Linked DNA regions of Sus scrofa. The protein of the gene in region 2 binds, or shares a complex with, the protein of the main gene of each other region. Links are inferred from orthologs where the notes say so. Each region holds a gene or a part of one and is shown on either strand. Other genes may lie near its edges. The genes, in order: SCARB2 and GBA.

Region 1 (4,234 bases), on a different chromosome or scaffold from region 2:
TCCCTGGCACACTCCGTCTTGTGCAGGGTTGCTTAACAGGGTCAAGGAATGCGGCAAGTCCACTTCCCCTGTACTTTGGTTTATTAGTCAGATCAGAGTCCATGCCTCAGGGAGAAAAGCACCAAAAATCAACGCGCACTCAAGCCCCACCCAAGCTGCCTAATAGCGCCTCCCCCCTCCCTGCCCCCACCCGTGAACACAGCCACAGAGTGGCTGAGGGCTGGTAATGAGTACCCAGGGCACTGGGGCGATCAACTGTCCTGCCGGGCTCCCTTGAAACAGCCTTTCAAAGCCACGCAAGAAAATTCAATGGACTATAATTGGATTGCTCAACTCTAGTCACCCAGGAGAGAGGTTACATCCTTGAACAATCTTGCCATGGCTTTGCAGGGGCCCGGGAGTGGAGAAATTTGGTTTAGCTTTTTCTCCGAACACAGGTGCTCAGGGAAAACAATGGCCTTTAAGAAGCTTTGTCTCCCCTTGGCAATGTGAACTTAAAATAAATAAATAAATAAACTATGCTTTGCAATGGCATTTTTTTTTTTTTTTTGGTCTTTTTGCCACTTCTTGGACTGCTCCCACGGCATATGGAGGTTCCCAGGCTAGGGGTCCAATCGGAGCTGTAGCCACCAGCCCATGCCAGAGCCACAGCAATGCGGGATCCAAGCCGCATCTTTGACCTACACCACAGCTCACGGCAATGCCAGATCCTCAACCCACTGAGCAAGGCCAGGGATCGAACCCGTAACCTCATGGCTCCTAGTCGGATTCGTTAACCACTGAGCCACAACAGGAACTCCTGCAATGGCATCTTTTAAAAATTGCCTTTAACTATCAGATTTCAAGTAATTGATGGCTTTTTTTTATTTTATTTTATTTTTTCTTTTTAGGGCCACACCTGTGGCATATGGAGGTTCCCAGGCTGGGAGTCCAATCTGAGCTACAGCTGCCTGCCTATACCACAGCCACAGCAACTTGGGATCCAAGTTGAGCCTCTGACCTACACCACAAGCTGGCAGTAATGGCAGATCCTCAACCCGCTGGGCAAGGCCAGGGATGGAACCCAAGTCCCCATGGATACTAGTCCGGGGTTCATTAACCACTGAGCCACAATGGGAACTCCTAACTGATGGGTTCTAGAAGCCTCTAGTAGGAGTTCCCGGTGTGGCTCAGTGGTTAACGAATCCGACTAGGAACCATGAGATTGCAGGTTCGATCCCTGGCCTTGCTCAGTGGGTTAAGGATCTGGTGCTGCCGTGAGCTGTGGTGTAGGTCGCAGACGTGGCTTGGATCTGGAGTTGCTGTGGCCTAGGTTGGCAGGTACATCTCTGATTAGACCCCTAGCCTGGGAACCTCCATATGCCCAGGGATTGGCCCTAGAAAAAAGCAAAAAGAAAAAAAGAAACCTGTATTAAAGAAATATGCCTGTTGCCACCTAGAATGAAACAATCTTGCTAACTGGGAATGCAGTGATCAAATCCGGAGGTAGCCTGGGCTTTTTTATCCGGCCAGGAGCAAGAGTTAACCAGCAGGAGAAACGAGGCATGAAGTTATGGGTGCTAAGGAGAAAGGCTGCTCCAATCTTTTTCTTTCTTTCCCTTTTGTTTTAGGAAAAAGTGTCTCAGTAACTCTCTTTTTCATCTTTCCACACAGATTGGTGGATGTGGGTGACAGGGCAGAAGAAATGACTCCTGGGGAAGCCATAGGATGGAGAAATCTGAAATGACGAGCTCTCCAGCCCACCTACCTAGGTGGACGGGACTGGCTCAGATTCTGTTATGAATCGAAATGCATCTTTGCCTGAGGTTTACCGCTGTTGAAGAGGAAGAACCATGAGTGAGACAAAGCAACGGAGGATGTTGGTTCTGACCGAACCGGCTAAGTCTGTGGGTGAGCACTGAAATGTCACCCACCCCAGAGGCCTGGCCTGGCTACCCAATGCGAGGCCCAGCCCAGGAAGGCAAGAACACAATAGACCACACACCCGCTTTTCCTCCTCAGCCCCACACCACTTCAGAGGCCTCAGCAAGCAGCCAAAAACCTGTTCCAGCTGTGGTGTCTTTCATTTAGTTTTATTTCTTCATGAAGTCGGAGGGAAACGAGCTTGGGCCCAACAGTGATGGGGCAAAGGGAGGGCCTGGGGTGGGGGTGGGGGAATGCAAATGGTGGAATATAAGGGCTAGCCTTTTAAAAAGTCGAGATCCAGAGTCTTATTATTCTAAAAGGAACACGGTCAGTGCCATTCCTCGCCATCCTTCTTTAACCCTTTCCAGCCCACCCCGAGAAGGCGAGGGCGAAAAAAGGGCTCTGGTCCAGAGGGTTTGCCCGGGCACAGATCCTCCCTGGACAAGGTTCAGCAGTGGGGAGTGGGGTGGAAGTGTGCCCCCAGCACTCAAGCGCCTTCTCTCTCTCTCTCTCTCACACACACACACACACACACACACGCCTCACCTTCTCGATCGCCTGGTCCACGGCCTTCTGGAAGACTCTGGCCACCAGCAGCGTGACGCTGGTCACCAGCAGGAGCAGGGACAGCGTCCCCACCGCGTAGAAGCAGCACCTGCCCATCCTGCGCACCGCTCACCGGCCGGGGGGCGGGTGGCGGGAGGGGAAAGGAGGGAGGAGCACCGCCGCCGCCCCCGCAGCCGCAGTAAGCAGCCGGAAGACCCGGGACCCTCGGGCGGGTGCTCGCCGCTCCCCGCTCCGCGGCTGGACGATCGCGGCCTCGATGCACCCGGCCTGCCGGCGCGGAGTGGAAGGGTCGCTTTGGTTTCGCTTTCCCCCGCCCCGGCAGCGGCGGTGGGGAGGGAGCGCGCAGGGTGGGGACGCTGGCCGGCCCGGCTCGCCGCAGCCCCGGGAGGAGACAGCGGGCAGCTGCGCCGGGAAGCGGGCGGGGCGGGGCGGGGGCTGAGCCCGCAGTCATGTGCCCCGCGGCAGCAGCTGCGATTCGGCCGGATCGACCCCGGCCGGTCCCCGCAGCGCCAGCCGCGCCCCCGCCCCCTCGCCGCAGGCCCCCGCGGTCACCCGGGAAAACCGCGTATCCTCCCGGGCTGTCCCCGCTCCTCGGTCCGGAGCTGCGGGCCTACAAAGGGCCGCGCCGGCAGATTCAGCCTGGATAGGACACTGCCGCTGCTCTAGACGAGCTCACAAGTTAACGGAGACACTGTTACAGCAGCAAAAGCGCAGTGTAACAAGTGCTTTTATGGGGTGCCTGCTGAGATCTGTGCCCGCAAGCATCTCTGCCTGGGTGACCAAGGACCCCACAACAGAACTGGGACTTGGGGGATGGGTAAGGGTTTGTCACGTGAGGGGTGTGTGCGAGGAGGGAGGCAGCATTTGGAGAAGAAACAGCTGTACGACCTTGGGGGTGAGAGAGCAAGATGGTCAGAGAAAAGAAGGAACTTCCTTTGCCCGCAGGCTCAGGTGTGCAGGTTGGGGTGGGAGGTGTGGAGGCCCCCTTGGGGTCAGACTTGGAAGCGCTCCCGTGTCCCGTAGAAGAATTGCGGCTTTATCTTACCGCAGGGAGGGGATCCGCAAGAAGCCTAAGCAGGAGGCCCGGAGGTTCTCACCTGCCTGGTTCACCGATACTACGTCCCAGGCACCGAGACTAAAAGTCCGCGCGCAGCGGGGACTCCATAAACATTAGTTGAGGGAACCCAACTATATGGCAACTATATGGCAACTATATGGCAGTCCTTGGCTAGGCGCCAACACATACCTACTTAATACCCGCAGCAGCCTTGGGGCTGTTGATCCCAGCAGCGTTAGAGAGGAGCAGGGGTGACAGGAGCACCGTTTGAAGGACACGCAGGTGTGGCTTCTGTGCAGGAGCGCGGCAAGGAAGGAAGGAAGGCTGGACAGGACGAAGTACCCAGCGCAGCTCTAAGAAAGTTCAGCAAGGCCTATGGGGGTGGTGTGGGGTGGGGGGGTGTCCTCAAGCCAAAATGGCCTGGTCCAGGAATCCAGCACCCTCCAGGAGCAGCTTCTTAGTCATGACTGGGAGCAGCCCCAGGAAACTGGCCTCTGTCCCAAGCTGGGATGAGCAACAGCAGATAGATTTTAGGGCTCAGCGGCTGTGACAGGGCTCCGGGTCAGGGCTGCTCAGCACTGCAAGGCCTGAAAAGTACATTTTCTTGGTCCCCATGGTAGTAGTATTTCCAGTTTGTACATAAGGAAGCCATGGCTCTGAGAGGTAAGTCATCTAACAAGCTCAACCAGTTGCTGAGTGGTGGAT
Region 2 (3,448 bases):
GCCCTTTATGCAGTCTTGGGATAGAGTCCCATTCAAGGCCAGGCTGGCGCCACCCGGGGCGCCCTCCCGACACCAGGTCCAGAACTGTGTGTCCTCTCCTCCCCCGGTGGCCCCCTGCTGCCCGGAGCCCACCTCCCAGAGCCGACTCTTCCTCCGACTCCATCTCTCCCGCTTCTCCTCAGCCCCGCCTCCCTGGACGCCTTTGTCTTCAGCTACTTGGCCCTGCTGCAGCAGGCGAAGCTGCCCAGTGGGAAGCTGCAGGCCCACCTCCGGGGGCTGCACAACCTCTGTGCCTACTGCACCCATATCCTCAGCCTCTACTTCCCCTGGGAGGGAGGTAAGGGGCGGATGGGTGGGTGGGGGTCGCCAGCCCTGGGAGAGGGGGGCAGGGATCCAGGAACTAGCTCCCCTGCCCACCTTCCTTCCTTGCCCCTCAGCTGAGGTGCCACGTCCACGCCAGACACCAGCGAGCTCAGAGACTGAGGAGGAGCCATACCGGCGCCGGAACCAGATCCTATCCGTGTTGGCGGGGCTGGCAGCCATGGCGGGCTACGCCTTGCTCAGTGGCATTGTCTCCATTCAGCGGGCACCTCCTGCCCGGGCCCCAAGCACACGGGCCCTGGGCATGGCTGAGGAGGATGAAGAAGAATGACGTATATGCTCCCAGGACTGATTTTTTTACTGTCATGCATTCCAGGGGCCCCTCTGTTTCCCCGTTGTTGGTATGGCTGGAAATGTGGTGCCACCCCCAGAATAAACCTGCTCACAATGACGGGGATCAAACATTCTCTCCTTCAAGAGGCGGTCATTTTTCCTAGCTGGTACGAAGCAGGGGGTCACCTGGGTGCTTGAGTCTACCCACGGGTGCTTGGCTTCTCTCGCTGCCTGTGCCCTAGTGCTGACATCTGTATGGGCCTGGTTCTACATCTTCAAGAAAGACAAACAGTTCCCAGTTTTGGGTCCGGCTTTCCTAGTCTCTTCCTTTCCTTAACCTCTCCCCCCACCCCCCACCCCCCGTGTTTGTGCAGACAGTGAGCTCACCACCCTGGGCCTGGGCCCAGTTTCCACAGGCAACCAGCGCATAGCACACGCTCACACAGGCATGGGGGTGGGGGACCACCGGGGCTTCCTGATCCCTTCCCTAGGGGCCTCTAGCCCCTGGCAGCAACTAGAGGGGAGAGTGAGTCACCCAAACCACGGCCTCCAGGCTTACGTCACCTAAGATCCCTTCGGCCCTGCTGTACCCTCTACAGCCACAGACAGCATGTGAGCTGACTCTGTCTCTTTAATGTCCATGCCGGGCCCAGGCGCCTGCTTCGGTATCTGCTCCATCACTTGCGATGCCACAGGTAGGTGTGAATGGAGTAGCCGGGTGAGATCGTTTCCAGGAAGCCCAGAGCCGGATCCTTGATGGTGAGAGGCACATCCTTCGAGGAGCTGGGGAGGGGAGGGAGGAGAAGCTGAGTAGGTGAGCAGCCCGCCAAGGCCCCCGTCCCGGCTTCAGCCCAGTTCCCAGGCCCTGCTGCTCTCACCGGTTTAGCACGACCACAACGGCCGAGCCATCGGGGCGCAGCAGTGCCACCGTGTCCAAGTTGTTCTTCTCACTGGCAGCCAGCCCCACTCTCTGGGAGCCCTCAGGAATGAACTTGCTGAAACGCAAACAGGCATGGTCAGGGACCCCATCCTAGACCCCCTGGCCCTAAGAAAGTCATCCTCCCTACCGCCACAGAACCCTGCCAAAGATCTGCCCTAACTCTCCAGGCCCCAAGCCAGACGGCTGGGCATGCCCTACCCTCCCACCTCCCAGCCCCAGCACTGGGCATTCTGGGGTTGTCTGTGTCTCTCCTCCCAGCTGGTCACTTCCTGCCTCGATGGTGCAAAAGGGAGAGGTGTACCTGCCCCAGGGATCCCACCCTAAACACCTTCCTGCTCCCTCATGTGGGGCGATACAAGCCCAGGGCAGGAAAGGCTAGGCTGGGGCCCAACCCCTCCACTCACCTGAAGTGGCCAAGGTGGTAAAACATGGGCTGTTTGTAGAATGTGTCCTTGGAGATGTCTACGATGATGGGGCTGTCGACAAAGTTGCGCACCCAGTTGGGTCCCCCTTCGGGGTTCAGGGCGAGGTTCCAGTCAGTCCAGCCAACCACGTGGTAGAGGAGGTTCTAGGGTAGGAACAGGGCAGTCCACATGGGGTCCTCAGGGCATTGAGTTAGGGGCACATGAGGGAGACCGACTCTGGCGCCTCAGCCCTGTGAGGGGGGTGTTTTGTATCCTTAATGTCTAAGGAGGGAGGGTTTGGGAGGATAAGGCGATCCCAAGAGGAGCTGAGAAATCGGGTGGATTGAACAAGGGTGACGGGGTGTGCAGATGGGGGACGGGAAGGCAAGCGAGCAGGTCGTGATATCCCAGAATTTGCCCCAAAGAGTAAGGCAGCTGGGGAAAAGCTGGAGAGGAGGGCCTCCCGTCAACCTTTGCTGAGATCAGTGAGGGGCCTGAGAGGGTCTGCTCTGCACAAAGGGACGCAGGTGGCATACCGTGATGATGCTGTGGCTATACTGCACCCCTCGATCCCAGGAGCCCAGCCGTACGCTCTGCTCCCAGAACTTGGAACCCACACAGGCCTCTGAGGCAAAAAGCATGGTGTTGGGGAACAGGCGGTGTGTCTCCCCCAGGGTGGCTTTTGCTGGAGCCAGAAAGTCCAGGTACCAGTGTACAGCAATGCCATGAACGTACTTAGCCGCCTCTGGGTCCGCCAGCACCTGTATGGGGAGAGAGAAGGACTGCTGGAGAGAGAAAGCCATTGATCCTGGGCCCTGCACAAATGGTTCCGGAAGAGGCCCTAGGACCTGAGAAGTAGGCAGTGGGATGAACCCAACCAGAGGGGGTTTGACAACCATGGGGCCCTGGAGAGCCGGAAGGGGGTCCTCACCACCCCCAGCACCTGGCTGGCCAGGGTGCTCTAGGATTCAAGAGTTGAGGCAGGGGTAGTTCCCATCGTGGTGCAGTGGAAACAAATCCAACTAGGAAGCATGAAGTTATGGGTTCGATCCCTGGTCTAACTCAGGGGTTAAGGATCTGGCGTTGCCGTGAGCTGTGGTGTAGGTTGCAGACGTGGCTCGGATCTGGCATTGCTGTGGCTGTGGTATAGACTGGCAGCTGTAGCTCCAACTGGACCCCTAGCCTGGGAACCTCCATATGCTGCGAGTGTGGCCCTAAAAAGAAAAAAAAAAAAAAAGTTGGGGCAGGGTAGGCACTCTGGCTGGGAGCCCGTCATCTGGATGCTGGATTTGGGGGTCGCAAGGGTACCGTGGAGGTCTTGGGCCTTACCACCTGGGCCCAGTGGGGCAGCAGCAAGCGCTGGTCATCCAGCATGAGCAGACGGACATTGCGGTGTGTACTATTGGCCAGGGTGGGACCCAGGTCACGGGCAATGAAGTCTCGCTGGTGT

What was found.
Region 1: the proteins of GBA (region 2) and SCARB2 are in contact, whole or in part, in a cryo-EM structure (PDB 9FJF), measured with the Homo sapiens proteins. The link is inferred for Sus scrofa from reciprocal best matches to the Homo sapiens genes GBA1 and SCARB2. Residues at the interface, in NP_000148.2 of Homo sapiens: Leu130, Asn131, Ala134, Ile169, Glu190, Lys194, Leu195, Pro430, Arg434, Ile445, Thr446, Asp448; in NP_005497.1 of Homo sapiens: Lys161, Ala162, Tyr163, Gln164, Lys181, Glu183, Leu187, Phe191, Arg192.

The regions. Positions count from the first base shown.
Region 1 is NC_010450.4:71,907,574-71,911,807, forward strand, and holds the start of SCARB2 (lysosome membrane protein 2 precursor), read right to left. Parts: upstream 2,889-4,234; 5' UTR 2,569-2,888; coding exon 2,452-2,568; intron 1-2,451.
Region 2 is NC_010446.5:94,603,900-94,607,347, reverse strand, and holds the end of GBA (glucosylceramidase), read right to left. Parts: coding exon 3,328-3,448; intron 2,760-3,327; coding exon 2,535-2,759; intron 2,163-2,534; coding exon 1,999-2,162; intron 1,650-1,998; coding exon 1,533-1,649; intron 1,438-1,532; coding exon 1,332-1,437; 3' UTR 659-1,331; downstream 1-658. Other genes in the region: MTX1 (metaxin-1), read left to right, coding at 183-337, 438-652. UniProt on the Homo sapiens protein: Glucosylceramidase that catalyzes, within the lysosomal compartment, the hydrolysis of glucosylceramides/GlcCers (such as beta-D-glucosyl-(1<->1')-N-acylsphing-4-enine) into free ceramides (such as N-acylsphing-4-enine) and glucose.